4 linked regions of the Arabidopsis thaliana genome follow. The protein of the gene in region 3 interacts with the protein of the main gene of each other region in a pairwise test. Each region holds a gene or a part of one and is shown on either strand. Other genes may lie near its edges. The genes, in order: MYB6, AT5G18150, AT2G46550 and AT1G54770.

Region 1 (7,899 bases), on a different chromosome or scaffold from region 3:
AACAAAAAGTTGATTATACACCTCTCCGAGTGTTTGGTACAGCCTGCTACCCCTGCTTGAGACCGTTAGCAAAGAACAAGTTTGATCCACGCTCGTTGCAATGCGTGTTTCTTGGCTATCACAACCAATACAAGGGATACCGCTGTTTGTATCCTCCTACCGGTAAAGTCTACATCTCTAGACATGTCATTTTTGATGAAGCTCAATTCCCATTTAAAGAAAAGTACCACAGTCTGGTTCCAAAATACCAGACGACCTTACTACAGGCTTGGCAACATACTGATCTCACACCACCTTCAGTGCCTTCTTCTCAATTACAACCTCTTGCAAGACAAATGACTCCTATGGCAACAAGTGAGAATCAGCCAATGATGAATTATGAGACAGAGGAAGCCGTCAATGTTAATATGGAAACTAGCTCTGATGAGGAAACTGAATCAAATGATGAATTTGACCACGAAGTAGCTCCCGTACTAAATGATCAAAATGAAGACAATGCACTAGGACAAGGCTCATTAGAAAATCTCCATCCCATGATTACAAGATCAAAAGATGGAATTCAGAAGCCAAACCCCCGGTATGCTCTCATTGTCTCTAAATCCTCTTTTGATGAACCAAAAACTATTACTACTGCTATGAAGCATCCTAGCTGGAACGCTGCAGTTATGGATGAGATAGATCGCATTCACATGCTAAACACTTGGTCTCTAGTTCCTGCAACAGAGGACATGAATATTCTGACATCCAAATGGGTTTTCAAGACTAAACTCAAACCTGATGGCACCATAGATAAGTTGAAAGCTCGTCTAGTTGCCAAAGGGTTTGATCAAGAAGAAGGAGTCGACTATCTTGAGACATTCAGTCCGGTTGTTCGAACTGCAACTATACGTCTTGTTCTCGATACCGCTACTGCAAATGAGTGGCCTCTCAAACAGCTTGATGTGTCCAACGCGTTTCTCCATGGAGAATTACAAGAACCGGTGTTTATGTTCCAACCCTCTGGTTTTGTTGATCCTAACAAGCCTAATCACGTTTGTCGGCTCACCAAAGCTCTTTATGGTCTAAAACAAGCGCCTAGAGCCTGGTTTGACACCTTTAGCAACTTTCTTCTTGACTTTGGCTTTGAGTGCAGCACATCTGATCCTTCCCTCTTCGTTTGTCATCAAAATGGGCAAAGTCTCATACTCCTCTTATATGTCGACGATATACTCCTCACAGGAAGTGATCAACTGCTCATGGATAAACTTCTTCAAGCTCTCAACAACCGCTTTTCGATGAAAGATCTTGGGCCTCCTCGCTATTTTTTGGGTATAGAAATTGAATCTTACAACAATGGTCTATTTTTACATCAACACGCATACGCTTCCGACATTCTTCATCAAGCAGGCATGACAGAATGCAACCCTATGCCTACCCCTCTGCCACAACACTTGGAAGACCTCAATTCAGAACCCTTTGAAGAGCCAACATACTTTCGGAGTTTAGCTGGCAAGTTACAATACTTAACAATCACAAGACCGGATATTCAATATGCCGTGAACTTCATCTGCCAAAGAATGCACGCTCCGACCAACTCTGATTTTGGCCTTCTCAAACGCATACTCAGGTATGTGAAAGGAACTATCAACATGGGGCTTCCAATCAGAAAACACCACAACCCTGTTCTTTCGGGATTTTGCGATAGTGATTACGCTGGCTGCAAGGACACTAGACGCTCCACTACTGGTTTCTGCATCCTCTTGGGATCTACTCTGATATCTTGGTCTGCAAAGAGACAACCCACTATCTCTCACTCCTCAACAGAAGCCGAATATAGAGCTCTTTCCGATACAGCTCGAGAAATCACTTGGATTTCCTCTCTTCTCCGAGATCTTGGAATCTCTCAACATCAACCTACACGAGTGTTCTGTGATAACCTATCTGCTGTCTACCTCTCTGCAAATCCTGCTCTTCATAAACGATCTAAACACTTCGATAAAGACTTTCACTACATCAGGGAACGTGTGGCTCTCGGTCTCATAGAAACGCAACACATCCCAGCAACTATTCAACTTGCTGATGTCTTCACCAAGTCACTACCGCGACGGCCCTTTATCACGCTTAGAGCCAAACTCGGCGTGTCTGCGTCACCGGTCTCACCCACGCCAAGTTTGAAGGAGGGTGTAGAAGACAACCCAATAAATAGAACGGGCTTTGACAAAAACAAAGACATGGTAGCCCAAACTCAACAAAGCCCACTACAGAAGCCCAGTCAACATATGCAAAAGAAGATAAAGACCAAAAGCTCTTTACCTGCAAAACAGAAGACTGTCACTAATACGGAGAAGAAGACAATAACACTTGAAAACAAATTCAAGCCGTTGCAGTCGCTGCCGTTGCAGTAATTCACAATAAATAGCTATTGATTAAAGATAGCATTGTCAAGGATTCTAGATTGTTCTAAAGAAGTCTATAAAAGAAAGATGTAAAACTCCATTGAAAGATAAGCAAAATAAAAACATTTTTTGTCAAGAAATAATCACAGTTTTATTTTTCTCTTCAGGAACAACTAAAAAACTGTATTTAACTAAAACAATTCAGAACTCCTTCATACGACGTCGTTCTTTTGTTAATTTTAAATTTAATTAATGGGAAAAATGTCATTAAAATCTTCAACTCATTGCAAACATTGATTTAAATCCTCAACTCTCGACGAAACAAAATAAATATTTGACTTTCTAAATAAATATCTAATTTTTGTTGACCTGGCGATATTAGACACACTGTTAAGTAAATTACTAGATCCCGTTAACGGAGTTAATTTTTTTGTTAACAGAGGCCCATTAATGCAAAACGTTATTGTTTCCAACAACAGAGTGACGTCGTTTTGTAATAATGACTGAACTAAATTCCCAAATTCAATCTAAGATCTCTAAATCAAGCAAAATTCCTATCTCTAAATCCCCATATGATTTGAAACTGGAGATTTAATTGAGCCGTTATGACAAAAACGATGACGTTTTATTGTTAGAGTAAACGTTGTCGTTTTCAATCAACGAGTATGTTAACACACTAAACGTTCAAGGTCTATTAACCTACTGAACATCATGCCTAATATAGTCATGTCAACAAAAGTTTGATATTTATTTGAAAAGTCAAGAAGGTTTGGTATTTATTTGGAAAGTAACATAAGTTTGATATTTGTTTCGTTCGCCGAGAGTTCAAGATTTAAATCAAAGTTTTCAATAAGTTGAGAATTTTAATGACATTTTTTTCCAAAAGATAACATGTTTGATAAATATTATTTTTGCATTGTATTTTTCTTAACTACCAACTAAATTATAAGAACAGTGAGAGAAAGAAAAAAACAAAAACCAAAATCTAAGGAGAAAAAGTAAAGAGACAAGAAAAAAAGAGAAAAGAAGGTTACTTACTTACCTACCTAATCTCCATTACCCCACACACAACACAGCAAAGCACAGCCTCACTTTATCTCCACATAGTCACATGTACATATACCAAACTTAGTCAAAGTCTCCTCCTTTTTATATAACCCACAAATTGATCTCTTCTCTCTTCTCTTACACCATCTTCTTCATTCACCATGGGAAGATCTCCTTGTTGTGAAAAAGCTCACACAAACAAAGGAGCTTGGACTAAAGAAGAAGATCAACGTCTCGTAGATTATATCCGTAATCACGGTGAAGGTTGTTGGCGTTCTCTTCCTAAATCCGCTGGATTGTTGCGTTGTGGTAAAAGTTGTAGATTGAGATGGATTAATTACCTTCGTCCTGATCTTAAACGTGGTAATTTTACTGATGATGAAGATCAAATCATCATCAAACTCCATAGCTTACTCGGTAACAAGTACGATAACTTTTTCCTCTCTTTCTCTTCTTCTAAAAAAACAGAGTGAAAATAGAAAAACAGAGTCACTTTTTTTTTTCTCCCTACTCTTGTTTCTAGGAAAAAGATTTCAACTTTCTAGGAAACAGAGAGAAAATAGAAACTGGGTCACTTTGTTTTCCTGCTCTTTCTTCTTCTTTGATCTTTCCCAGGAAAAAAGTTTCAACTTTCTAGGAAACAGAGTCGTTCACTTTTTTGTTTCCTCTGTTTTTGTTAAAGCTTTCCTCTGTTATTGTTATTCATATGAATTTGAAATGTTTTGTTTTGCAGATGGTCATTGATAGCTGGAAGATTACCAGGAAGAACAGATAACGAAATAAAGAATTATTGGAACACTCATATTAAGAGGAAGCTTCTTAGTCACGGTATTGATCCACAAACTCATCGTCAGATTAACGAATCCAAAACGGTGTCGTCTCAAGTTGTTGTTCCTATTCAAAACGATGCCGTTGAGTATTCTTTTTCCAATTTAGCCGTTAAACCGAAGACGGAAAATTCCTCCGATAACGGAGCTTCGACTAGCGGCACGACGACGGACGAGGATCTCCGGCAGAATGGGGAGTGTTATTATAGTGATAATTCAGGACATATAAAGCTGAATTTGGATTTAACTCTTGGGTTTGGATCCTGGTCGGGTCGGATAGTCGGAGTCGGGTCATCGGCTGATTCTAAACCGTGGTGCGACCCGGTGATGGAGGCGCGTTTGTCACTGTTGTAATAATTTGTCAAAAAAATCCCAAAAAATGGGTTTTGTTACTTCATTTTTTTTTTTGCTTGAGTCCTTTTGGATAAATATAGAAATTCTTTACTTCAGTTTCTTTGGTATTTTTGTTTTAGTTTTTGTTCATATTACCTTTTGAAGAAAAAGAAAAAAAACGATACATGGTTTCCAAAATAATTTTATGGAAATATATAAGAATATTACACCATTGTCTAGGAATGCAAATGAGTAATTTGAATTTTATTTTGACAATATTGTTATAAAATGTAGAAGTATAAATGTAGGAGTGAAATGTGAACATGGTTGGTCCCTTTTGGACTCTTTCTTATGGATCAACCGTTATCCATTTTTACATGTTGGTATAGATCATAGTTTTTATATGTTTTTTGAAGCAAAAGCTTCTAGAAACTTGAATTAGGTTATAATGGGGACCATATAGTTGCAACTAGCAAGTTTCAACAAATATCTCGTTCACTATGTTAACTATTTTTTTTCATTAGGTTTTCGGTGTTAGTTTATATATAGTGCTAGGACACATGGTCCTCATCTCAACAAACAAACTTCTAGTTTGTAGAACTTTTTATTGTTTAGGAAAAAACTAGAATTGAGAACTTCTATTAATACTTATAGTTGTAGCGTAATTTGGTGCCAACGAAATTAATTAAAAGAACTACTATAGACGTAAACATTGAAAAGGAATGTGAAGAAGCAGCTGATTGGAAGAGATACAAATTGATTACTAAATAAAGAAATATAGAATAAGAGAATAAGATAAGGGAGGAGACATGTGACATGTTTTAGGCAGGTAGGTGGCAGAATCTATCATTAAAACCATATTGTGTACCAAAAAATAATTGACTTTACCTAATCTTTAATAAGATAAATATTTTATATATCAATACTATAACCTTATAGATTATCCGAAACAAATTTGACATAGCCAAGTCTCGATAAAAACATTTATCAATATGATCTTAAGGCAAAGCAAAATGTTTTGTCTTTAGACAAATCTTTGGTCGACGTCAGAACAAGAAAAAAAAAGAAAACAAGAATTGGTTTCGTAGAGATATTATCATATTCATACGCATAAATATATCTAAACAATTAAAGAAACAATAATATAAATGTAAAACAAAAGAGAGAATCATGTGCGTAAGAGGAGGAAGAAGGAATGGGAATGTGAGATTTAGGTGAGATCCAGCCAAACATGACTTCCTCTTTTCCTGGAAATTAAAAAAGAAGTTATCACTCTCATTTTTAATATTAATAAAATTAAGAAAATTCTCTAACGAGTTTAAGTTATTATTTTATATGAATTGATATACCTTTTTACATCTTCTACATAAACATAGACTATAGTCTTCATAATTTTGTAAACTATCAATAGCTAAGTCTAATTAATTTTAGGATCATTTGCAAAACTAACCATATTTGATAAACTATTGAAGTATATAGGACTATATATTTACATGAATTTGCAAGAGATTCATTAAAATCTTCATTCCAGGACTCTAAAATTATAGATCATTTACTAAACATAATTCTTATTCCACGGAACAAAATTGAACCAAAGACTTACAATTTCAATAGTCTATAGTCTAAGAACTAACCTAATCTGTTACTCAACAATTGCAGGCATCGATCGATTAGGTACGGTTAGATTGAAAGATACATCATTACTCCACTTTTGTAGATTATTGGGTCGAGTCTGTCTAAATCTAGGGTTGGAGAAATAAAGGTTTTTTTTAAGCTTTTGACGAGCCCTACTTCTTGAGAAATCAGCAAATAGTGTATGACAAACTACACACATGAAATAAAATACAGTATAGAACAGTAAATTCTTTTAAAAAGATATCCTAAAGTCGTCACTTTAACTAATCGATCATGAAATCCTCCTTAAAAACTTTATAAATCCCTTTAAAACACTTGTAAACTTTTTTAAAATCCTTTAAACCCCTCTTGTAAATCTATTTCCCGCAAAACTTTTCAGAATCAAGTGTCCCGTCAAAAAATACAAGATCACTTCTCTTGCAAAAAGGAAAAACTTTGCGGAACATTTTTGATAAAAAAATACACTTTTTCATTTTTGATTTCAATATTTTTCAAATAGGGGTAAAATATTAATTAACAATTGAAAGAGAGCAAAAATAAAAATGGCCAAAAGTGGGGTATTTTTGAGAGTGAGGGCTTTTCTAACACTTACTCATTAATAGATAATGGATATACAAATATATATTTCTATTTCTTAAATATTTTTAAATCTTAAAGTTTCTACTATCTAGTTACTAAAATGTTTTACAAATATGTCATTTCCAATTTTAAAGATTTATTTAACTTGTCCTAATATGATTAAATAATGTTTTTTCTACTAATACATTATAGACATATCATTTCTGATTATAAAAATATATTTCTATTTTTACCGACATATAATTTCAAATTAAAAAGATAAATTAGTATTTACAAAATATTTCTAATTATAAAGCATATGTTTATTTTCCTAATATTTTAAACTTTTTGATTTTCTACCATCTAGTTAAAAAGTTTTTATAGACATCAATTCTAATTATAAAGATATATTTCTAGATATTTCAAATCTCTTACTTCTACTATCACGAGATAATTTTTTTAATAGACATAACAATTCAATTTTATTCAGATCTTCGACCATAATGAATACTTAGGAATAATATATCTACAAAAATAGAAACATATCGTAAAAATTGGATATATATACATAGACATACATATACATAAACTTACATAGATATCCAAACACTAAATTAGTTGAATATCAATTCAATTGTCAGTTTTAAAAATGGCCAAAATATCATCACCTTTGGCTCTCTTATTCATCATGTTATCTTCCATCATGATCAACCATGTGGCGAGTTCCAAAACATGGTGTATAGCAACTCTAATCGCAACGAATGCGCAGCTGCAAGCAAATATTAATTTTGCATGTAGTCAAGGAGTTGATTGTAGGCCAATCCAACCTGGTGGATCTTGTTTTATCCCTAATAATCTTGCAAATCATGCATCGTTTGTGATGAACTCTTATTATCAGACTCATGGTCGTACCAATCAGGCATGTAGTTTCAAAAATACCGGAACATTTGCTGCTACCGATCCTAGTTTTGGTAAATGTGTGTATGCGTCTTAGAAATTTTATTTTGTTTTGATAATTTTTAAGCGTAATAAAAGAATGAATTGGTGATTACAATCATCCATTGGTGAATACAATACATAATAAAAGAAATGGTGATTTCAATCATCCATTGGTGAATAAATGC
Region 2 (7,480 bases), on a different chromosome or scaffold from region 3:
GATCAAAATACACAACACAGAACGATCTATTCAAACTAAATCCTGTGTAAATAAGCTCACCAGCATCAATAACACCCTTCAGACTTGTGTTGGGAGGAAGACATAAATGAAACTGTTCATACGACCATTTTCGATTCCCTGCATCCTCCAAACTCCAGATTTCAACAACAGAGCTAGTGGAACTTATCAAAGCCAACCTTCCCTCATAAGATACCATAAGAAAGCGGTCATAATTACGCATCGGAAACTCAATATGTGTAAACTCTTCATATCTGAGATCAAAGCCAAATATAACATGCCTTGGAACCCTATCAAATATAATAGCTTTATAGTAGATAACTCCATTAATGCATCGTCCAGTATCTTTAGTAGGCCAATGTGTATAGCCAGGTTTGGTTACTCTCCATGATTCTTGAATTTCCAATGTAAGAACTTGAGTGTTCCATCCTCTGACAATGCACAATGCTTTGTATTTACCCTCTATCGGTTCATATCCCAGAAACCCTCCTACGTTGTATTCGTCACCGGTGCCTTGAGGCTCAGGTAAAGGGAAGAATCGTTTCAAAGTAGGGTTACAAATCACGAGCTGTTTAGAACCTTCTAAGCAGATCAAACCGTGGACGGAATCAAGACGACGGATGAAACCATTCTTGGGGATTTCAATGTGATAATCTTGCACATGAGAATAAGTATTCTGGTGTTGGGGAGACGAGAAAACGATCAGCTTGTCGTGTTTTCGGAAGATTAGTAGAACACAAGGTGGTGATGTCTTCTTGGACCGATGCTTGATGAACTCTGGTGTGGTGGTAATGGACGACCAGAGCTTAGAGACGGAGCGAGATCTGACGATTGATTTCGCAGGAAGTCTTGAGAGTATCTCAATGGTTATGTCGAGAGGAATCGAGTTTGACTGAGATATGTGATTACCATGTGAGCATCTTGTCGTCAATGTAGATGAAGATTTTGTTGTTCCCTGCTTCTTCTCGTCTTGTTTGTCCATGGCCGATCGTTCCACAATCTTGCTTTCTTAAAATTCACCTAATTTGTTCGTTCGTCTTCTTTAAGTTAACGCTTATTTGTTCTTCCGTCTGCTATACTACTAAATATATAAGATGAATTAGAAAGAAATAAGGTAAACTTGAAAAGGAAAAATGGAAAAATCAAATTATATGTAAACTTGAGTTAGAAAGAAATAAGGTAAACTTGAAAAGAATAAAAGGCAAAAACAAATTATGTTAATTGTAATTATCCAAATTAATATTTCATAATTTCTATTTTATAGTTTTAGATATACAACCCTTCAACTTCCATTTTTTTTTGTAAGGGTAATTAACAAAAGTGTTTGTATTGACCGTTTGTGATTTTCTGCATCCTCCAAATTTAGATAATTCTACTTTTTAAATCTGAGATCAAAGCTCATTAGGGCATGCTTCAAAGTCAACTTGGGATCTCCAAGAACAGAATTTCATATGGTTCTTACAGATGTTAATCTTGATGGATTGTGGAGCAAGCAACATGGTTATCTTCTTCATGTTTTGTAATGATTCTTCTCTATCTTACCCTCTAAACTAAGAGAAGAAGTTCTGTTTCTGATTTGCCAAACCTTTATACAACTCAGAAACTTATGTTGGGACTTGAAGTTATGCAATAATATACAAAGGCACACCAAATCAAGGAAAGGTCAAATAAAGATTACAAACACTAAAGGCAAAAAATTTATAAAGGAATGATCAAGTAACGAACACAAGAAAAATCAAAGATATAAAAAGAGTTATAATTGTTGCATCAAAAGTAAGTTTCACTGATCATTGAGCTATGAAGGCGCTGCTTTAGAAAGACACAAGAGTCTCGATGTGGTTTGGAAAAAAATACATGTTGTATAAACCGTCGTCTTTATCAAGTCCATAACGGCACCTAAATTCATCGCCTAAAATGTAGAATATAAAACGATTTAGACAAACTCTGTGAAGCAAAAATAAGCACACCAGCATCACTAACACCCTTGAAATGTAGATGTTTCCTTCGTATTGGGTGTGTCCCAGAAAGAGGTAAAACAAAGTGTTTATGCATCCATTCGTGTCTGTCTCCATCCTTCAAAAAACCCATAGCTCAGTAGAAGAGAAATTTCTAGTATTAACTATGGCTAACCTTCCCTCATAAGGTACTAATACTATCATATGAGAAGCCATTAAACACAAGCACGGATACCACTAAACCCTAAATCCAAAACTTTAAGCTCTAATCTCCATTTAGTTATGAATTAAACGCTCACATAAATTAGTTTTTTTTTTTTTTTGGTTGCCTTCTTTCCTTGGTACAAAAGTAATATCCTAAACTTATTATTCACAAAGCAATAGGGTTTAGTTTCGTGGAAGCTTTAAAGTTTAAACCTCTACCTTTTGAAAATTTCCATGTATGGTTGAAATTGCTTTTTCAAATAGATGTTGCTCGTACAATATTCTGCCATGAAGAACCCGATGTTCTACCAAATAATCATTAATTTGTTGATCTAACAAGAATTTACATTAAGCCAAACATAATCATTCATAACAATCGATATGACAAATAACTAACTCTTTTACATATGACATTGACAATTTTCTAGAATGCGCCTTAAATTGTACAAAAAAGAATTAGACTATTTTAGAAGAGTTATTTCAATTCTATAATTGCGTCCCGTTGACAAAATCTTCATCATACGTGATGATACAATAATACAACTACTCAAGTGGTAGTTGAGGTCAGCCTCTTCTAGAGGCTCATATATTATATTTACTTATTTTGGCTTTCTTTTACCCTTTAATATAATAACCATCTCATTTAGACCCCCTAACTTTTGCATGGTTAACTCAACACACCTCTCAATTGTTTTCTTCTCAAATCTATATCTATTTGGAAAAGAAAAAAAAACAAGCTATATAGCATAAGAAACACAACATAACAATACAAATTATTTTTTCTCACGTAAGAATCTAAATTCTACTTTTCCCATTAATAGTGACTCTTTATAATCATTAATTTAATTCAAAAATTCGCTTCAAATTTTCAACATTATGGGTGAAAATTCTTTCAACTCATGACATTCTCGTAGAAATTAGGATTTTTATAAAACATTAAAAGAAAATTGACAAAAAAAAAAACATTAAAAGAAATGGGGCTAATTTATAAATATGGAAAACACTGTGGGTCTTTATGTAATTGACGTATATATCAAACCACCAATTCCTAAATTTTCCTCATTGCTGAAAGATTCAGAAACGCGTTTCCTTTTTCTCGTAGTGGCGAGAGGGGAGACATGTAATCTCAATCTCACCCCCTTTATAATTTCTCTATATCTCTCTCTTCTCTCACACAATTCTTCGTTTCCCAGAATCTTACGAACCCTAAAACTTCTCATTCTTCGTCACACATTGAGATCATATTCCAATTCAAAAAAATATGTGTCCGATGAGGTTCTTATTGGTGTTCTTCTCAGCTGTACTCGCCGGATATTTCGCATGGAAGACGGTGAGTTCTTCGCCGGAATTCGATTCACCGGACGAATTGAATGAGAAACAAGAACTCAATCTCAAAAAGGTAAGCATAAATCTCGTTCCTTTTTCGTTAATTTCTGGTGATTTGTTCTAATTTCTCTGTTTCTTTGTTGAATTGCTATTTTAACAGAAGATGGAGAATGGGTTTTGGGTGTTCGTCGATATGGCTAGCGGAAGATACCTTTGGAGGAATCTCAAGGAAATGAGAGAGAAATCTCAATGAAGATGATGATGAACGAATACGAAAAGATTTCATCTTTTTTTTTTTGGTTTCTTCTTTGTGCAGAAAGTGTAAGAAACAATAATAATGATACTTTACGAGTTTAGTATTCATTTGTTCTAATCTTTCTCCTGAATTTTGTAACTTTTGATTCATTGATTTGTAATCTTGGAAAAAGAATAACAAAGAGTTTGTAACCTTCAAGCAATTTCTTCTCTTTACTACTAATCATTTTTCTCCAAGACCCAAATCATAGGATACAAATAATGTAACTTAGCTATTTACAATCTAAAACGTAGTGGAAACTTACAGAAGATTCAGGTTGAGTCGACTTGAAGTTTGATTGACATGTAGAGGAGGGTGAGAAGAGCACCTTGTGGAAGAGGAGCATGTCTAGCTAAATTAGAGCCAACCCACATTGCTACTAACACAAGAACCACCACGCTGCTGCTTGCTTTCCCACAGAGCCAGCTTGCAAATGTTAAGCAGAGAGTAAGAAGGATACCGCCTTTTCCGCCAAGTATCCAAGCGATCATGAATCCGACTTTGTAACCCATGTCGAGTTCCTTGTCGAGCAACGCTGTGAATGTGCTAAATGTGAGAGATGCTAGGCAACCGAATGTATATAGAAGAAACATCGATAAGAAGGCGGATTTGAGAGCTTCAACAAATGAGTCTCGCTGGTCTGGTGCTGTTTCTACTCCTTCTTCTTCTTGCGGCTCGGTCTCAGCGTAGAAATGTGAGTTTGGATATGTAGAATAGTGTCCATAGAATCTCCCGTGTCTGGATCTTTGTCTTTTCTCAGACCAGGTGTAGTAATACTTCATGGCATCTTCAACCTCAGGGGTGTAGCTGTGCCTTTTCACTCTATGGAACCGGGAATTTTCTTGAAGTTTAAGTGCTCTGTCGTACTGAGTCCTTGTAGCTTCATTAGATAGTACCTTTTGAAAAACAATACAGGTAAAGTGAGTAAGATTTCATCTATTGATGTTACATTGAATTCCAAGAACAACAACACTCTCATAGAAGGAAAAAAGACACTTGAGAAGGAATACTGACTTCGTAGGAACAACGGACACTCTTGAATAGCTCTCCGGCTTTAGAGTCCTTATTAACATCAGGATGAAACTGCAATAGTAACACAAGGATACAGTCACAAACATAACCCAAACAAAGCTAAGGGATACAGAGAACAGGTTATTCATTCAGTATCCAAGTGAGCAAGAGCTAAATTGAAATATAAGAATACAGAGAACAGGTTCCACCAAACTCCAGACACATGTTGCTAACTTATACAAACACAAGATTTAAACTTTTCTATTACCCAAATCATGTTGCTAGAAGAAATTGGTCGTGTTCTCAACTACTTCTGATACTGGTTGCAAATTTCACATCTTTAACGCAACAATCAATCAAACCAAACGATGCAAAACTAGAGAAATTTACTAAACGAGCATTTCCTTAGTTCTTTACCTTTCGAGCTAGCAAACGATAAGCTCTCTTGATGTCACCTTGTGTGGCGTTTCGAGCGATGCCCAAAACAGCGTAATGATTCTGCCCGCCGGTATTAGAACTTGAAGAAAACGCAGCACTAGTAATCGTCGTTTTCGAGCGATTACGGTAACTCCGAGATTTGCCGTCGCGGTGCCTTCGACGGTGAGGGAATAGGTCTCGGCCGATAGGGTTAGACGACGGAGGGAGGAGATCGCCGGAGAAGGAGGAGGAAGAGAATCGACGGTAGCCTTTGAGTGGGATAGGTCCCACCAAAAGGTGAGTCTGCATTATCTTCTTCACTCACAGTCACAGGTCTGTTTGTCAAACGGACCACTGACGTTAAGTGGTGGAGGAGAAGAGAGGCGACTTTGACGGAGGACCGTTAAAATTAACTGGTGGGTTAGATTATGGGCCTTTAGATATTATTGGGCTTGTTCTTCAGTTGATGTACCTTGCAAGCGCAAGGAACTAAACCCTTAGATATGTAGGCTAGTGATTTGAATTAGTGTTGTCATTGTGTCATGTTCAAATCCATGTTTTTGTTTATCAAAAGATTTAGTAAGTTTTACACCAAACTACATCATTGTAGGCATTTACATTTGAAATTTAAAGTGAGATTTGTTAGTCATCTTTGAATTTTTGTTTGAACTGTGATACTTCTCGAAAATTTTGGACTCTCTACATCGAAACAATTAGGTAAACTATTTAATTGTGGATCTTTCGCACCATTAAAATCGTTTTGATGATAGCACTTTTCTATACATCAATTATGTTGTATTATGATGGTTATGTTGTATTAGGTTTGAATTTGTATAGTGACCGAACAACTGACACAAGAATTTAAATACATAATTTTTTACTTATTCATAATAGCAAAATACTAAGTTTATACTCTCTTGTGTATTATCTTTGTTTTTCTTGTTCTTGTATATATATCATTTACCTATTGCATTTTCTAACGACTTAATAAGTATATATCATCGTTCGCTAGAACTTGATGTCGTATTGTCGTACGTAGTGCCGGTTCCAAACATGTGCTAGAGGTGCTCATGCACATGGTCCACATTTTATTTATTTATATATAACTACATTTGTTAAAATTAGGGTCCAAAATTTGTTTGTCCGAAAAACATAGAAAATAAGGCCTATATATGTTTCCCAGCTCAGAGTACATGATATTTTGAGTCCGCCCTGGTCCTATGTAGGCGTCGGCTTAGCCAGTATGTAGTATGCATTCGGACAAAGAATGTAAAATTTCACAACCATTATTTATATTGAATTTCCTAAATTCGTAAATACATAAGCTATAGAGGCGATTAAGCAGAAGACATTGGATCTATGGCTATATGGCTATGATTCAAAGTGCATCGTAGTATCCTCCAAAAGATATTTGAGCTCTTGCCACCGGAAGACCTTTCATCACAGAGATTGCTTCATTTAGCTTTGTTGCATGTTTCACTACCTCGTTCATCCGCTGCAATAACGAGTTTAAAACCAATCACACATCAACGACTTTGAATCATAAATCTATATATCAATAATGGCTAACTCGGTCCCAAACATCTCTAGGCGGCTCTAGCTATTATTGATATGCAAGGAACAATGACGTTATTATATAAACGTGTTTTGGTTCAAAGTGTGAGGGTGACGCAAGAAAAGATAAACACAAAACGTACAAAGACAAAATAAGAATCTTCTCTACAATTATTGATTGTTCACTAAGACACGTAATAGGCCACACCGCCAAACGCATCCTTATCACTTTCGTTGTATCAAAGACACAAACAACTTTACTATTCAATCAATCAAACAGGAATATGTATAAGTTGAGATCTAACTTTAACAACAATTAGGGAAGCAAACCAAACTTAATAGCTAATTTGTCTTGATTTACCCTGTTAGATCAAAATCTCAAATGAGTGACATGTTTTCGTGCATTAGGAGCCAATTTGCTTGATAAAAAAAAAAAAGGGAACCAATTTTAAAATTAATGCTATCTGATTAAGACGGCATAAGTCAAATGTGAGATTACACACCCATCTAACTAAACTAGTAGAACTAATCAGATATATCAGTTATCAAAATTAGTGTATTTCGTATCATAAAAATTAATTTTCCTTAACTAAGTGACTTCTAACAAGAATCATATTTTAAATTTTTTACCTTATTATCATCAGAGTAAATCTGGAACCTGAGGATCTGGTTCTTGTTCCGACCACCTTGGATGCTACTG
Region 3 (8,833 bases):
CCCTTTTTATTTTGTTTTGTCACAACTCACAAAAGAACCTGCTCCCTTAATCTTGTGTTTCGCGTAACAAAAGACCCACCTCCCTTTTTTTGATTATTATTATGGACGTCTTATTGAACATTTTGACTTTTTTATTATTGCAAAAACCCTCACCTAAGACCACTTTCATCATATTTTAATAATTTTTCCTAAACTAAATTAATCATCATTATAATCTTAAGACTTGCGAGAACACACTAAGCTTGAGAAGAAATCATAAGCTCGGTGTCGGTGGGAATGTTTTACTGATCAAACTACATTTTGGTTTTGGGTCCACTTTGAGCTTTCTTTAAAATCGTTAATCATAATAAAGTCATTTGTCGGCAGATAATTTTCACGTCAGCTTCATAATTCCTTAATTTTAATTCGTATAATTTGATGAGATCACAAGAATTTCTTCAATGTAGTAGAGTATATCAGTTGCATGAATACAAAATGATTTAATGTTAATCACATACATACCATTGATTAGAAAAAAAAATGGTTAAGAAGACCAAATAGAAAAAGAGATGGTTCAAATAACAGTCTCTCACGCGCCTCTTTTCTCAAGTTTACAAAGCGCAAAATCCTTCAGCCATTTTAAGTTCACGTGCCTCACGTGGTTTAGGTGCGCGTGGCTATGTCACGTGTTGCTTCTGCTTGTACTACTATTACATTACCTCTTGAGCAGTTGGGTGATATTTATTTATTTTCACCTCTATAGTAAATAGTGAAGCTTTAAAATGTAAAAATACCATCCCTTATAGAATAACACTGTTTGAACTTTAGTGACAATGTATTCTTTGAATAGTAAGAACAAATAATAACAGTTTAGTTGGTGAATGATTCTATTATTTGGTGACGTGGTCAGTCAAATTTCCTCTAATAACAAAAGAGTATTGACTTTTATGAATGGTTGTCTATCTAGTCAACAGTAAAAAACCACCGTTGGATCATTAATAATCACAAATGATTTGAGATATATTTAATGCATTGTCTTTTTTTTCTTCACTCTCCCACTACCTAAAAAGAAACTGCCTAAGACTAAGCTGAAGAAGAAGAAAGAAAGAAACAGAGAAGACATAAAAATGAGAGGAGACAAGGAAGAAGAGAAGGCGAAGCTTGCACTTGTGTTAGCTGCAAAGTCAAGATCGTTGTTGTACACTTCATCGCCTGCGAGTCCACGTGTGTTTGCTTCTCCGATTCACACTCTTGCCTCTGTTCCGTTTTGTTGGGAAGACCAACCAGGCAAGCCCAAGCACCCTCTTCGTCCTCTTTCTTACCCCAAGTGTCTTGATTTGCCACCTCGTTTGCTCCTTCCTGGTGAGTTCACGCAAATGCCCTTGCCCGAGAGGAAACATGGGCTCTTGAGGTTCTTGAGGAGGAAAGGGAGAGGGGATGTTGTTGTGAGGGGTAATTATGTCTTTCTGTCGGAGAATCAGAGAGCAGGAGATAATATCAACGAGAACAACATGAAGATCATGAAGTTTAACAGATCAGGGAGTTACCATGGTGGTGGTTCTGTTAAAGGATCTCACTTTTGGGTAAAGTATTTGTGTTTCTCCGCTCCTTCTTCATAACTTCTTCATCTTCCCAAGTCTTGTCTTTCGCTGAAACGGGTTTGGTTGGGGAAATGCAGGGAAGTTTATGCAAGGGATTGAAGCTAGCAATGCCATGGAAGAACAAGAAGATGAGAAGTGGAAGTGTTTAAGCCTGTTTTCAATATGCATTATCTATCTATCTATTGAGGGATCAAGATGATGAAAAAGAGCTATTAAGAGTGTATGTAAGATTAGCAATTTTACTGTAATTTAATATCTGTGTGATATGCATATATAATGTTGTTAAGACTCATGAGCCATGGCAAGAAAAGTTTCAAGCTTTTTTCATTTGTTGTTAAGAAATGAATACATCTGATCAAGTGATGAACAAAAGTGAGTGTACACACATGCCTTTATATTAAGTTTCATAACAAACAAATGAGTCTGGCTTATTCATTGTGAATAGAGAGAGTAAAAGACAAAAAAGGAATAGGGATCATCTGAATGTAAGAAAACAGGGGAAGTCATTGCTTGTTTTAACTCTGTTTCTTCCCTGTGACACCAGCAATCACCTGCAAAAGCAAATTGGATCTGAGTTAATACTTGACGCCTTTGTTTGCCTGTAAAGAGTATATAGGAAAGCGTTGGATAACTAAGCAATGTGATAACTAACTAGTCTCTTTTATGCCCAATCCATTTTTGGCAGTAACAAAATGTGATCATGACACTCGTCCAATGATGAAAAGCATAGATTTTTAAGGCATGGATGAACCAAAGATGGAACTCTCAAATCACAAGAAGACGCAGGAGGAACAAAACATCGAGATGATGTATAGGCTACATCACATAGCAAAAAAAAGAAACGTCCAAACATTCGCCTACACGGATACTAAGAACAACTATCATGCAGAGTTCCCACATCAGAGACATTTCATTAGATAGGAAATAGATGACGATTTTAGCAGCAAAAGGAATTTCCACAGAGATAAATATATTCTAATACATACATCGGTAAGTGGAGGAGCTTTAACTTGTTTGGAAGCCTCGAGAGAGTCTAGAATAGGCCTCACAACCGCAGGCAAAAATAGTCCTACAAGATGAAGAGAATCCATCAGCAAATGTATATTAACACAATTGCCTTTTGCTAATGTTCAAGAAAGACATAATCTTTTGCTACTTATACATGGAGATAATGGAAGACATGGTTCCAAATTAAGCTTAATTTCAACTCCTTAAAATACACTCTCTTTGACAACCCAAAGAAATGACGATTCCGAATAGAGAGATTTGGATCAGGCATTTCTCTATATTCTCAAATTACAATCGAGCAAACTAGCTCTATAGATTCAAAGAGGAATTCCAGAAACTAGATAAATCCCAAAGCAAATCCTTTTCTAAGAAAGAGAATGCGATCGATCGGTGAGGAATTAAGATTGAGATTAGGGTTCATACCAACACCGCCGATTAAGCAAGAAGCAGCCACAACTGGTTCCTGCGCCACGAACATCCTCAATTTCTCCATGACCGGCATTTTCGCACTTTCCGATTTTAATCTCTTCCTCGGATTACGACCAAAGCTCCTCGTCAATGTCTGATTCGATTGATAGTTGCTCCTGAGTAAACCATTTTCTCACCTGAAACGAAATTAAAGATCATCTCCGGTCGGGTCGGGTTACTGGGCCCAAATGTTCGCAATTCGGCCCATTATAATCACCTTTGCCGTAATTAAAAAATATATATACTGTATATCTTTCTCTTTCTCATTCTGCTTCCAGCAGTAAAAAATTACTAAGTATTTTAAATTTTCAAGAAATCGAAGCTCTAGGAACATGAAAGAAAGATCATATACACTGTACAGTAGTTAATATATGCAGATATTACATGAACATGAAAGATACTTACTTACACATTAAAGAAGATAATTTCATATGATTTTTGAAGGAAAAGATCAAACTAGTAAACACAATATTAACAAAATTCTTACAACAATTTACATTCTCTCCTTAACGAAATCCAAAAGCTGATTCGAAGCCAATCTTTTAACTCATTTCAACATCATCAAGCTGTTCAATGAGAAAAAAGATGAAGTTTTGTCTCTTTTCTTCTCTTTAAACTAGAACGATAGCATCTGCATCCATCCAACAGTCCATCCAAGAAGCAAACCAGCACCAACAAGACTCATCCCCAATGCTAAACCAACCGCGTACTTTGCTCCATTCGGTTTACCCCTTTTGCTTCTTCTCTTTCTCCCCTCTTTTCTTGCTTTGCCATTGCTCCAACAAGGGATGGAAACCCCTGGATCGTCGTTGTTCTTATTGTCAATCTCCTTGTTCTTGATTTGGAGGTAAAGTGCTTCTAGCTGAAGCAGTTGTAACCATTGCTTATACCCAAAAAGCTCTGCGGCTTGCTTCAACAATATCTTCACCAAGTGCTCTTTCTCTGCATAAGCTTCTTTAGCCATATTCTCCGCTTCCCTAGCCCGCGTTTGCGAACGCCTCAGTGCTTCTAGAAGCTCGGATTTGCTTAAATCAGACTCAGATGAAGCCTCGGGTCTGTTCTTGCAGCTGCTTCCTTTGCTTGTACCCTTGATGGTTTGGCCAGAGACAGAGTAGTCTCTCAATCCATCAGAATCAAAACCACGTGGACTACCATAATAAGATCGTTTCATCTTCTGCGGTGTTGGTAAATCACAATTCTCAACATAGTCTAGAGATCTTTGTGCAACCAAGGAAGCTAACTCGTCTTTATCCGTAGTTCGCCACCACGGTGCAGCTTTCTCACTCGAGAGAAGATTCCACGGCGAGCTAGGATCAAAAGAGAGCTCACTTAACTTTTTCTCAGAGGACTCATCATACCCAGTTGAACCATAACTCTCCCTTGTCTCCATCAACTCTATAAACTCTTGAAAGCTTTCGGAATTAAAAGACTTTCCTTGTTTCTCTCCAGCTCCCAATTCAGACTTCTTCTCAGATACACCTTGATTGTTAACCTCATCCTCCAATGGCTGCTTCTTATTCACCTGAAACTGATGATGAGGATGACTCCACAGTCTGGTGTTGTGGGGTAACAGATCAGGGAAATTCGGGTTTCGAGGAAGAGGCATGAAACCTGCACAAGATGATTGAGTCCGTGGTTCAACAGAAACTCGAGGAGAAGAACCAGAAACTTCCACTTGCTTAGTTGAAGAAGCAGTTGAGGATGAAGATGATTGGCAATAAGTTAACTTGGGAGCTCTTTTAGCGTCTTCTTGGACAAAGCAACGATTAACTGTTCTTTGCCACACTGCTCTTGCTTCAGCTGCTGCCATTATTTCACCATAACTCTAAAGATAAGACAAGAGACTGAGAATTCAATTCAAGATCAATGTGATTTAGAAATTAGGTAGATTTAGCAAAATCTTATTAACCGTTTTGAATCTATTTATAGGAAAAATAATATGAATCATTTATTTCAAAGGAAGAATCTTTCTGATTGCCGACAGATCCATCACCAAAAAAGCTTATTACAAAACTACTTTTTAGAGAATCTGATATGTTTTGCTTTCCAGGTAAATTGAAGAATTAGTTCCTAATTTTCTTAGAAGCAAACAAAAACCAAAGCCAGATTCTTTGTCAATTTATCAACTTACTAAACAAATCATCATTATTTGCAATTGAAATCAAATTTCATAAAACTTCAACTATAAAATTATCAAACCCAGAAGAACACAAAAAAAAAACATGAAACGCGATTAGACCTAAGAATCAAAACCGGACACAAAAACAACGGATGGTGATCCAAATCATAATTCATCTTAATGAAACCGCAATAATTTGTAAGAATTCGGAAAAAAAGAACTAACCAGAAGGAGAGAGTAACACCAGACGAAACCCAAAAAACGGAAAAATCTATGATTGTTTAGTCAGTCTCGTGAAGAAGATAAGAGTTGTTCTGATTTTTTTTTGTTTTCTGATTGTCAGAGAATTTTTGTTTGCTTTCGATTAAAATCTTTTGAATCATTTTGCAGTTTATTATCGTTTTCTTAGTCTCTGTGTCATTCAGCACGCAAGCTTCCGCAAAACGGCACCGTTTTCTGAGAGGACCCATAGTTATGTTAATGAGTATTTGAGTCCACAGATTTGCCCATAGATTTCACCTGACAGCCGTTCGATTAGATATTAATTACACGTGGCGACAAAAAAGAAGATCTAAAAAAGGCTTCCCTTTCCTTTTTTAACGGATAAGACCTTTTATCTTATCAGTTATCACTATACGATTACGCGCGATGGTAGATTACGTCATAAATGTTTGGTTAAAACATAAAAATCTTGTAGTAATTGCGTCGAATGATTTTGATTTTTAAATGATCGATTAAATTTTAAATTTCAAGTTAGGGTCTACTAATATTTTTTATGACATCGTTTTCATTTAAGTAATAAAGTGGCCAATGGTAAATAGACATGTTGAAAATATAAAATTAGGTTTTTTACATGTCAATTTGGTTTAATGTAGTTCTGAAAGTTAGGTAAAGAGAATGTAAATAGTGGCCTCGTCTAGGAAATTGAATGTTAGGTGAAGCCAAGTGTCTTCAAGTCATTATGGTTAATTGTCTCTCTCCATTATTCTCCAATTGATAGTGTTACATGAGATTTATTTATTACGTGGTTAATAATTATTTAAGCAATCTAAGATATTCTAATAAGATGCTTTATGTGAGCACTAATATATTCAGTCATAATTAACACCATAGTCTATATATATACTATATATACAACTAACTTCTTTAGAATAATTATTAATGAAATGGACCTTTGCCTTAACTTAATAGTTTTAGGAATAATTCTTGGCAAATGGGGTTTTAATCAAACATTTTGATGATTCATATCATTTCGTCTACAAGACTACAACACAAATTATGGAGCAGTTTAATAATCAACCATAAGATAATATTCCACTACGTAATACGATAGTGGCCAGGTTCCTAGCCGTCAATTTTTCATAATCTTATTAAACTATATCGAGCTAATACCAAACCAACACCAAAAAGAAAGAAAAAAAATTACAATAACGAACTAAATCTTGATAATGTTTATTTTCGGTTCTATTGCACTACACTTAACACCAATCTAATTGGAATCAGTCCGATTTAATCTGGTCTAAATCTGATGCAACAAAGTCAACGAAAACTATGTCAAAGATAAATAGATGATATTTCCGAGTATAGATTGAAGTCAAGTCAAAGATAAATTAAAATCTGGATTATGGTCAACTCAAGATTCTACTGCTTCATAATCTTTAATATATTTGTATATACACAAATATTAAACCATATAGAGAAAAAAACTACATCACAAAAAATCACGTATTCAATAAACACACGCAAGGTAGCAATAACTCGTTTTCTCGACTGCAAAACTTTCCCGGAAAATGTATCTTCTTTTTATTTAGCATCGCCATAGGAAGAATCTACGAGGCTGACGAACTTCACCGTGCCATCACCACCACACGTTATAAATCCATTCGGACAAACTTGTATGTCAGTCACCCCAGCCTACACCAAATTCGTAACACATACCCAAATTCGATTACATACACCGACATTACTTTGATTCTGGTTTACTAAGAAACCAAAGCCACTGTGAGAAAATACGATGAAAGGATTATGCTTTAGGTGATTTGGTTCACTAACCCGGATGATTCCACCGTAGCCTCTCGAGTTTGGCTGCAGAAAAGTGTGTCTTTCGTGTAGTTTAGGCCAATGATGAATCAACTTTGCAGCTTTCGCATCCCAAAGTTTTACTTCTCCGTCTTTGCTTCCCGTCAAGAAAAGACTTGTGCGTGGGATTGTCGCTATTTTTGTCACACTCCCTGAAATTTGCATCAATGTCAATCAAATTTCAGGATATTTTTCCGGTAAAATTGGAATATGAAGGTGAAAATAGGCTTTAGGGTGTGCACCTAAGTGAGCCTTTGGTATATACCAAAGCATCCCATTCTTGTTTTGATCTCCATCAGTCGAAGATCCACCGTCAGGGTTCCTTTGCTTCTTCATCTTTCCGGTTGCAATAAACCGGAAATCGTGCAAACCGACATCACCATTTTTGCCACCAGTCACAATCATAGGAGAAATTGAACCACTACCAATGTCATTATCAAATACCGAGATAGAGCGTGCACCACCTTCATAGAAGAAAAGGGACAAAACAAAAAAAAAACTTGTTAAGAGTTGTGATTATGGGAAATGATACTAACACTTCTACAAAAAAAATTATTGGAGGACCTTCATGGCAATTGATAGATGCCTGGGAGGTTGAAGGGGGAGCTAGAGTATCCCACACAACGACATTTGCACCACTTGAGCTATATCCTGAAGCTGCAACAATGGATCCACTCGAACTAATATATCCTACATCTCTGCAACCATAAATAACAGAAACAGAATAGCTGAAGCCAATAGAACAAGAAACAGAGAAATAATGGTAATTTTCATGACTGACAGCAATAATTTAAAACTTATGTGTTTTTAGCATATTAGTGAACAAGAACTTATAGACTCAAGGATCATGAAACGTACGATGCATGGCCATTGAAGCAAAGAGATGATTCAACAGGATGAATATTGCTCCTTCCTCCAACTTCTGATTGCCAAGTGCATACAGTTCCATCCAGTGCAGCGCTAGCAAATCTGTGTCCGAATGGACCGAATTGCACTGCTGATATCGACGCCAAAGCATAAGGAGGGGAAACATTTGCAGCAGGAAGAACACCATAAGTTGCAGTAGCTCTTTCGTTTCCAAACTGTAACATGCAAGGTTTGCATTATAAGATCCACAAGGATAGATAAGAAATGTCATATCATTTACTCCGAACTCCTAAAACAGATGGTGCAAGTGTTTAGGCACAAACCTCCCACAAGTATATGTGAGTGTTGCTTGAGCCAACCAAGAAGAGGGGCATTGTCGGGTGATTAGAGAATGCTCTCGTAATAACACTTTCAACTGTTGGGGGAGGATCAACAAACTCTTCAAATTCTTCTTGAGTTTCCCAACCTAGACCAGAGACTCCTAACCACCGGCGGATCTACGTGAATTTTATTTAATGTTATGAGAAAATATACATTTGGCTTATCAATTTTTTTTTTTTAGCTATGTGTGACCTGGGTAAAAAATGATCCTGGATCCGCTATCGCTCCTAACCCAGAGTAGCCAGGAACTCTGTCAGCTTTCCCAGGCTTGGAAAGAGAAACAACTCCAACAGTGGCCCCACCTAACCCAAGGTGTGCTCCTTTCTTATCC
Region 4 (8,711 bases), on a different chromosome or scaffold from region 3:
AATGTTATGTATGGAGGTCAATTTTGATTTCATGGATGAGTGCAAAAAATCAATTTTAAAAAATGATTGTTTGACAAATATCCATTCAAAATATACTAACTAAGGGATTAGATCACGATATTAATGACATATTCTTGTTTTCCATTTTTTCCTTTAACACACACAAACCAAAAAAAAAATTAAAAAAAAATTTTAAAAAAATAGTCATTTTTCCTCTTTTTATATCTAAAAACAAGAAAGAAAACCAATTAAAAAGAAGTGACAGAGATTGAAGTGTGAAGCCATCTGACGTGGGACTTATCTTACGTTCTCTTCTAATCTCTACAGGTCATCTTTCTCGGTGGCACCTTTATTCACCAAGCAAAACACCGCTTCTTTCGATCATCTATCTCTTTCCCATTTTCTTTTCTTGACTTTTTTTTCTCTCTCTTCTTGTTCTATTATAAACAAAAAATGTGTAATAATTATTCATCAATCCTCAGAATAATACAAATAGGGGAGTAGGTATCTATCTTGTCACCCTCTCTCTCTCTCTCTTGTTACCAAGATGAGCTTCTACAAAAGAAGCTTTCACTCTTTCCTTGGCCAAACCAACACCAAAGGGATGCCGTTTGAATCCGGTCTTGGCCATGATGAGACACAATCACATGGCTTAATGTTGTGCACAGAGTATCTAGGGTTTGAGAGTTACGACATGAGGATGTCCGATAACGAGGTGGAGAACAAGATGACTTGTCATGCGGAGGTGGAGACCGAAAGGGTTGAAGCAAAGAGGAGGAAGACGAAGGAGAATGTGGTGGTGCAAGCGCAGAAAAAACAGTTTCCTCCGCCTCTCTCGTCATTAAACAGCCGTGGACAGCGATATTTTTATCTCCGTCCGGTGAGAAAAGACGGTAGATTGGAACTTACGCAAGTTATGGTCGATCGACCAGAGATTTTCCACGTTTCTAGAGTAGATGGACGGTTGAGATTACATTTTGTCGATGGTGTCGAGAATCCCATTAGAGCTTATTCTGGTCCTCAAGAAATTGTGGCCTTAGAAGAGGAACCTAAGGGTCTAGGTAATGAGAAAGAGGGAGGGGAGATTAGTAGATCTGATCTGGAATGTGGTAGAGAGATTAATGAAGACGACAATGATGGTGCATGTAATCAAGGAATGGATTTATCTATAATCAGTGATGATAGTGGTGCAAGAAGTTGGAGATGTAAAAGTAGTCATGATGTTTCGGTGAATAGTAATAATGATGTTGCACATTTCCATGATGACCATGACACGAGAGAATGGATGTACAACAGTGGTTTTAAGATCGTGGCAAGTAGGAACCATGATGAGAACAATCATCATCATTATCATCATCGTCATCGTCATCATATTCATCCATACCATCATCATAATAGTAACAATAACATGAATTTATGGACCCGGACGTACGTGAGGACCAGGTGAGGTTATTAATCAATGTTTTTTTTTTTTACGTGGCGGCTTGAAACAAAAAATATATCAACTAAAAAAGAGTACAGCTATATTTTCTCTGGAAGTTCCGTTGTATTTTTATAAAATATTCGAAAAGTCAAAGGTTGGGTGTTGTTATAAGTAGTGTCAACAATATGATAGCGTGTGAGTGTAATATTATTGTTCGTTTAAGATGCTTATGTATATGACTTCCATAATTGAAACATCTTATTACAACTTTCAATTTTCATATTATTATGCCTTTTTAACAAAGTATTATTCCAATTTTGATTACACCGTTTTTTATTTATGTAATTTGATCAAAATAAAATCGACAGATAATCTCTTCAAAAGTTTAGAGTTTAGATGTTCCAGTTTTAAAAATAATTATGATGAATCCGGAATAGGCCACAATTTTTTTTTTTTAATACAAGATTTTAGAGTAAAACTCGTAATCCTCTCAGACACGAAACGACAACATGTAATATTAGTTTCGTTCCAAAAATATCGAACTGACGATTTTTAAGCTTCGGCTAAGAGTTTTACTAGTTCAGCAATGATACTTAGTGGAATAGGCCACAATTCATATGTTATAATTCAATGTTTCATCATTTAATGTTTTAGAATCGAACTTAGTTTGGTGTTAGTTAAAATCTTTTCGACCCTCGTAATTAAGAAATAAGGAAAACATAGGTGAAAAGATAGAAGGCAATGTAACGCAAACGAGTCTGTCTGATCGGTCCAATTGTTGGTCATTCGTCCATATATAGCTGTCTGTTGAAAATTGGAACATTAATGTTGTCAAAATTCTAAGATTGCAGGTTGCATTTATAGACTCCATTTCCCTCCACAATCGACAGGTCACAGGCCTTTACGCCACATATAACCCCAAGATACAATGCATATTTAAAAGTTCTTGTGAACTGAAGAAAAGTTTCGACGGGTTGAGATACGAGACATTGAATTTTGGAGAAGAAAACAAAAGCTAGGGAAAAAGTTTGTGGTCCGCAAAACATTGAAATGCAATAAGAAAACTGAGTTAAAAATTAGAGTAGGAGCCGTGTTGATTCCCTAGGAAAGCTTCAAGTATAGGAGATTGCATGAAACGTTTTGATAACGGAAATGTTAAGCCTAATAAAAGGAAGTCACCTCCTTATGGGGAGTTTATTACGGCCTATACATCGCATGTAGAAAACGAGTTTCTCGGTTAGAACTTAAAATGGATTTGGAAGTAGTGGTTGGTTTTCTGAAGATAAGGGTTAGTGAAACTTATCCGCTGTCTTTCCTGTTACGCTTGTGACATGGCTTTATATCAAAGGATTAGAATATCAAAATTTCACATATTTACCGGGAGGATAATCGTTTTGCGGATGAATTAGCTAACCATGCTTTTTCTTTAAATTTAGTTTTTCACTTTTTAGATACTATTCCAAGATGTTCTCTTTTGTCGGATGATGCCCGTTGTTTGGCAATTCGATGGCATGTTGTTGCTTGTTAAGTTTTTGTATGTTGCTATGAATAAATTTGGGGAGGCATTATCTCCCCGTCCCCTACCAATTTCTTTTTTTTTCTTCTATCCCATATATATATATATATATATATAAATTTCGAAAACTCTTTGCTTTCATTTTCTTAAAAAATCACGTAAACATAATTTTAGAAATAATTAAATAACAACTTATAATATTTTTTTTTCTTCCCATATATATAAACTCCGAAAACATATAGTCGTATATTATTTCTTAAAAAATACTTTCAATTGACTTTTTCCTTTTGTATTAAAATCTATTCTCCCACATATTTGGTAGTTATTTAAAATTGTAGTTCATACAATCACAGTCTTTACCAATTAATTTAAAAATCATACAGTCAAATTCCTTACATCAAAAATCCTTATAACCTTTAACTATGCGAACAACAAAGATTACCAAACTTCCAAACATTGATCTACAGATTGACTAATTTTTATGCAATTTAAATTACTACCATTTTTCCATCTATATAAACCCAATCTTGCACCCACAAAAAAAAAAAAAAAAAGAGAAACACATACTTAATCTAAATTTCTCCTTTCTTTATAGTCAATTCATATTTTTGTTTTCTTCCAAAATGAATCCCAAGAAAACCAAAGGAAAGCAAATGATTAACATCAAAAAAATTGAAAAAGATGAAGACAGATTGGTCACATTATCTAAGCGTCGAAATGGAATCTACAATAAGCAATGAGCTTTCCATTCTCTGTGGTGCTGAAGTTGCGTTTCTCGGATACTCTTGCTCAGGAAAACCATACACATTCGGCAGTCCGTCTTTTCAAGCCGTGGCAGAGCGATTTCTCAATCGTGAGGCCTCATCATCGTTGCAACGATCGGTCATGAATGCTCACCAACAAGCGAAGATTCAAGAGCTTTGCAAAGTATACAATAGAATGGTGGAGGAGGCAAAGACGGAAGAAGCCAAAGTAAAGAAGGCAGCTGCATTAGCGGAGACAATGCCCGTAGATGAGGATGCGTGGTGGAAAGTGGATCCAAAGGAGGTGGAAGATCACGAAGAGGCGAAGAAGATAATGGAAAAGTGTGAAGGGCTCTATGAGAAACTGTGTAATGAAGCTGCTGCAAGGATCCAAAGAGGAGATGCTGAGAATAATAACAAATGATCCATTAATGATTAAGATTTTAATTAGTAGATCATTACTAATTAAGTATTTTTGAGTCTTAAGAATTATGTTTTTTTTTTTGTCTTTTCTTTTTTATACATTATGAATTGTTATTGTTTTCTACAACATCCAGCAATGGATTAATGAAACTGAAATATTTTATACATAAAAGAAGCCCATTACAGCCATTAGGCCCAATTCGTGATCTATCATCTACTCAATCTCTAACCCTAATATCTCCAATCTTCATCTCCGTCGATCTCCATTGATCTCTAACACTAAAATTCTACTACTCTTCACTTTCTACAGCTTAGGAAGAGTTCTCGACAAGCTGATTCTTCGAGTTCTCGACAAGTTTCAGTGTTTTTGTTTCCGGGTCACAGAGAACAAAGGCAATTTACAATAATGGCAGAGACTAAACAACCACTGATCGGTCTTAAATGGGAACCAAAGCTTCCAGGCTTATCCTTAGACTTGAAAACTGGTTCAACCAGAAGCAAAACAGCTGAGAGTTCTAAGTCAGAGCTTGTTGATGGTCTTTGTCTTCCACCTAATGATCCAAGGAAGATTAACAAGATGATTAGAAAACAACTCAAAGACACTACTGGTTCTAACTGGTAACTCTTCTTTATCTCCTCTACTCGGATTAGTTTGATCCGGCTTGTGATTAAATTGTATTTCTTCAAACTGTGGATAGGTTTGATATGCCTGCTCCAACAATGACTCCTGAGTTGAAAAGAGATCTTCAGTTGCTTAAGGTAATAGATTCTTTTGCTTTTGTTGTTGTTTTAGGTTCCATAGTCCTTACATTATTCTAATTGTATCTTTATTGTAGTTGAGAACTGTAATGGATCCTGCTCTACACTACAAGAAATCTGTGTCACGGTCTAAACTAGCTGAAAAATATTTCCAGGCAAGTTTCAGAACTAGATCAAAGAGAATAACCGTCTCTTTCGGTTTCTGTCTTAACACAAACTTTTGTTGTAAAAAAAAAAACAGATTGGTACAGTAATTGAACCAGCTGAAGAGTTTTATGGGAGATTGACAAAGAAGAATAGAAAAGCAACTCTTGCTGATGAGTTGGTTTCAGATCCTAAAACTGCTCTCTACAGGTTAGTTACTACCATTGTCTATTAAGAAACAATGTATAGGAAATGCTTAAATTCTGTAAGTATTATTGATAGATGTAAGTAAAATAAGTGTGTGGTTTATCTATTCTATCAAGAATTTGTATTTTTGAGAATTTGTATTCATATAGCACATGTGCAATCTTTGTTAAGTGAATGTTTTTGTGTTGATTATGGTTTTACAGGAAGCGTAAAGTTAGGGAGATTGAGGAGAAGAGTAGAGCTGTTACGAATAAGAAATGGAATAAAAAGGGAAACCAGTCTAAGAACACAAAGCCAAGAAGGAACTGAATTATTTTTGTTAAGAGTATGATCATAGTTTTGGGACACATTTTTTCTATTTTTAATAGAATATGGTCATAGTATTGGATACACTTTCTTGCGGTGATATAGGTTGTAATGACTCTTGTTGTTTATGGCCTTTGTTTAAAGGATTTTGTGTTATTGGTTACACCTTTGATAACTGTAATAACTCTTGTTGTTTATGGTGCTTATGTTATGTATATCCAAAACCAAACCTTGTCTAGAGCTACTAGGTGGGAAACTTGTTTCAGCAAGACTGAAATTGAGTCCTAGTTTACACCTTTTGCAGAATTGCAGGGTCCAACCACGAGAGCATCGAGTTTTATACTTTCAGGTAGCACTCATAGTACCTCCCTGTTTGAGTCATCTGGCACTGACCATGCCACACATATTTATGTCAGCACAGCAAAACTTTGGTATTCAGCAAGATCTAAATTATGTGACTTTCTTCTTTTGAATCATAGTTGTAATGAGGAGGCTAAGAGTATTGCTGCAGCTGCTTCGAGCAGGGGAAAGATTGAGGTCAGTTGTTTGAATTTTTGTTTTCGCTCGGCGTTGTTCTATGATATTATATCAGCTCTTTGGAATTAAGAAGATGAATTGTGTGTGTAGGATTTAAATCTATGTCAAGTTGAACTGTTTAAGCTTGCTTTTTTTTTTTTTTTGAATCTGTGTATTGGCTCGGTGTTGTTAGAATCTAATTTCTTACTAAGTATCTCGACAAAGTCAGTTTCTTGGAGAGTGCTGATTACAGGCAGTTTGAGAAAGAGAGAGACGCTAGTTTGAGAAGACACGATGAGACCGACTCCTCTAACGTTCTTCTACATCTGCTGTAAGTAATCTTGTTTTCTGTTCTGTTAGAGAAGTCTTCTTTAGTAGACTTTGTAGCATTTTCTCAAGTGATTTGGTCACATTCTTTGGCAGTGTCTAAACCGAGTCCCCGTTTTCTTGATTGATTCGGATTTATTTCTTATGTCTCTCTCGAGAGAGAGTTCAAAACTGAGACCATCCTCTCTGAAGGCCATGGCCAATGAAATGGGCTTGCAATGCAACGTAAGCCCAACTTGAATCCCACGATTCTAATTCGAGCCGATATCTGAAACAACAATTCATTTGTGACTGCAATCTACACCAATCTACACCTTGTTCTTGTAAATCGTTTGTTTTCTTAGTTTCTACCTAATGAAGCTCATTTGGTCTCTATACAACATAAATTTCTTCTTTTGGTTTTGAAATCTAAAACCTGAAGTAAAGCTTGATTGATTTGGTTTATGGATTGCAGGGGAAAAAGTGGCTCTCTCTTTAACATTTACAAAAAAAAAAAAAAGTGGCTCTCTACAGAGTTGATAGTCGTAAACAAGCAAGCTCGTGTTAGGTTTTTTCTATTGTTGGATGGTTTTGTATCAATGTTCTCAATATTGTTTTACTAGATAATGAAGATAACTTTTATATTGTAAATATATTAAATTCATTTTGTAATTATTATTTTTTGGACAAATATAAATGCATATATAAGTAAAAATGTGATAACACGTTTCATTGAGTGTATATTTAAAATGTAATTATGCAAAAAAAAAATTAAAAAATATTTAATTAGCAATTTAGAAGTTTAAACATCAATTCTGTTTTGAGAAAATAGTATAGTTTATAGACATGTAGTATAGCTAATGTTTATTTCACACATATGCCAATTTTTAGTAAATAAATCGTGAAGTGATCATCACCATAAAATCTGATGGCCGCAATTCAAACCCATGTAATCGAATTTTGTTTCTAAGATAGAATCTAACACAAAATAAATTAGTATACATACATGATATATTAATTTTTTTTTTGTAACATGATAGATTAATTAATTTAAAGATAAGAAACCACACACATAAATTATTTATAGATTTTTAAAAGTTTCAATATTTATTACATAGAAACCCAAAAAATCCATCATAAAAGCGGTTATCAGGAGGCGTGTAAAATTTCACTTGAGCAAATTTGTTTTGGTTGCAGAGATTTTTGCAAGCAATTCTCACAAAAAGGAAGAGTTGCCGTTTTAGAATCTTTCATGCACTGATTTGGGACACAATGTTTAACACATACTTCTATCGTACTCGCGTATGTTGAAACTATCATCGTTAATAAAACTACAATCATCAAAACACTATATATCTTTTTCATTGTTTCAGTTGCCATTATTTGAAAATATGAGTTTGTGAATGTTTGAGGTAATAAAAATATTGTTTAGGTTATATAGCAAAAAAAAATTAACAAGATAATTAGTGTTGAGTTGGCTTTTTGTAGTTTTGTACTTTATATAGCAAAAGTATTTTTATCCACTTAAAATTATTGATTTTGGAAGTATATCCGTTTCTTATTAATTAAAAAGTTAGTTTTTTTTTTGTTTATGTTATTAGCTGTCCAAACAATCTTGCAATGTTAAATCGTCATTTACCAAAAAAATTGCCAAATTTTCACCATTGTCAATAATAAGTCAAATATTTTATAATCTTAATTCAAAAACTATCCCCTAAAACATGATTATATAAAAAAAAAATCGTATTGATGGGTCGAGATATTTAGCATTAACTTATAAACCAAAATGAATTTACAGGTTGATTTGATCTATTTAAATTTATTGGATTCATAGGTTGACCTAATTAATTTAGCTAAATAATTTATCTAACACTCAACTAATTAAGACAATAGATGGTACCCATAATAGATTAAATTTGAGTAACTTCAAAAGTTTCTATTCAGTTTTTTTTCTTACAATTTTTTTGTGGTATTAATTCTAAAGCATTATCAATAATATTGTCACATTTTTAAAAATCTTATTTCAGAAATTATCCCCTAAAAAAGATTATAAACTAGAACCTTTTTTTTGTATTGATGGGTAGAGATATGTAATCATTTAACTTACAAACCAAATTGAATTTACATGTTGATTTGATCTATTTAAATTTGATGGATTCATGGGTTAACAACAACAAGAAAAACAAAATTAGTTTAATATTATACCACATGTCACGCTCTAGTGAGAATGTTAAGAGTTTATGTAATAACACTAACAAATTTTGTATATTTTTCCTATACTATAAACATTTTTAATTTTTTTTTTTGAATATATTAACAACAACAAAATTAATAGAATGAGGTTAATAGTTTAATATATTAGCATTTT

What was found.
Region 1: the proteins of AT2G46550 (region 3) and MYB6 interact in a two-hybrid assay, tested with the Arabidopsis thaliana proteins (one large-scale study listed by BioGRID).
Region 2: the proteins of AT2G46550 (region 3) and AT5G18150 interact in a two-hybrid assay, tested with the Arabidopsis thaliana proteins (one large-scale study listed by BioGRID).
Region 4: the proteins of AT2G46550 (region 3) and AT1G54770 interact in a two-hybrid assay, tested with the Arabidopsis thaliana proteins (one large-scale study listed by BioGRID).

Annotation. Positions count from the first base shown.
Region 1 is NC_003075.7:5,989,436-5,997,334, forward strand, and holds MYB6 (myb domain protein 6), read left to right. Parts: upstream 1-3,472; 5' UTR 3,473-3,583; coding exon 3,584-3,846; intron 3,847-4,155; coding exon 4,156-4,603; 3' UTR 4,604-4,823; downstream 4,824-7,899. Other genes in the region: AT4G09462 (Carbohydrate-binding X8 domain superfamily protein), read left to right, coding at 7,425-7,769.
Region 2 is NC_003076.8:5,996,290-6,003,769, reverse strand, and holds AT5G18150 (Methyltransferase-related protein), read left to right. Parts: upstream 1-3,215; 5' UTR 3,216-3,438; coding exon 3,439-3,576; exon of another isoform or gene 3,577-3,663; coding exon 3,664-3,756; 3' UTR 3,757-3,964; downstream 3,965-7,480. Other genes in the region: AT5G18160 (F-box and associated interaction domains-containing protein), read right to left, coding at 1-1,000; AT5G18140 (Chaperone DnaJ-domain superfamily protein), read right to left, coding at 4,071-4,694, 4,813-4,881, 5,227-5,535; AT5G18130 (uncharacterized protein), read right to left, coding at 6,605-6,721, 7,411-7,480.
Region 3 is NC_003071.7:19,108,592-19,117,424, forward strand, and holds AT2G46550 (uncharacterized protein), read right to left. Parts: upstream 5,616-8,833; 5' UTR 5,401-5,615; intron 4,882-5,400; 5' UTR 4,867-4,881; coding exon 3,673-4,866; 3' UTR 3,370-3,672; downstream 1-3,369. Other genes in the region: AT2G46535 (uncharacterized protein), read left to right, coding at 1,107-1,562, 1,658-1,729; AT2G46540 (fiber), read right to left, coding at 2,096-2,131, 2,567-2,649, 3,012-3,090; AT2G46560 (transducin family protein / WD-40 repeat family protein), read right to left, coding at 6,979-7,089, 7,228-7,406, 7,497-7,718, 7,819-7,952, 8,113-8,336, 8,445-8,618, 8,695-8,833.
Region 4 is NC_003070.9:20,430,292-20,439,002, forward strand, and holds AT1G54770 (Fcf2 pre-rRNA processing protein), read left to right. Parts: upstream 1-4,258; 5' UTR 4,259-4,511; coding exon 4,512-4,723; intron 4,724-4,803; coding exon 4,804-4,864; intron 4,865-4,941; coding exon 4,942-5,019; intron 5,020-5,105; coding exon 5,106-5,218; intron 5,219-5,418; coding exon 5,419-5,524; 3' UTR 5,525-5,870; intron 5,871-6,000; 3' UTR 6,001-6,162; downstream 6,163-8,711. Other genes in the region: AT1G54740 (FANTASTIC four-like protein (DUF3049)), read left to right, coding at 548-1,447; AGL85 (AGAMOUS-like 85), read left to right, coding at 3,621-4,106; AT1G54773 (uncharacterized protein), read left to right, coding at 6,332-6,368, 6,461-6,492; AT1G54775 (Plant thionin family protein), read right to left, coding at 7,493-7,723.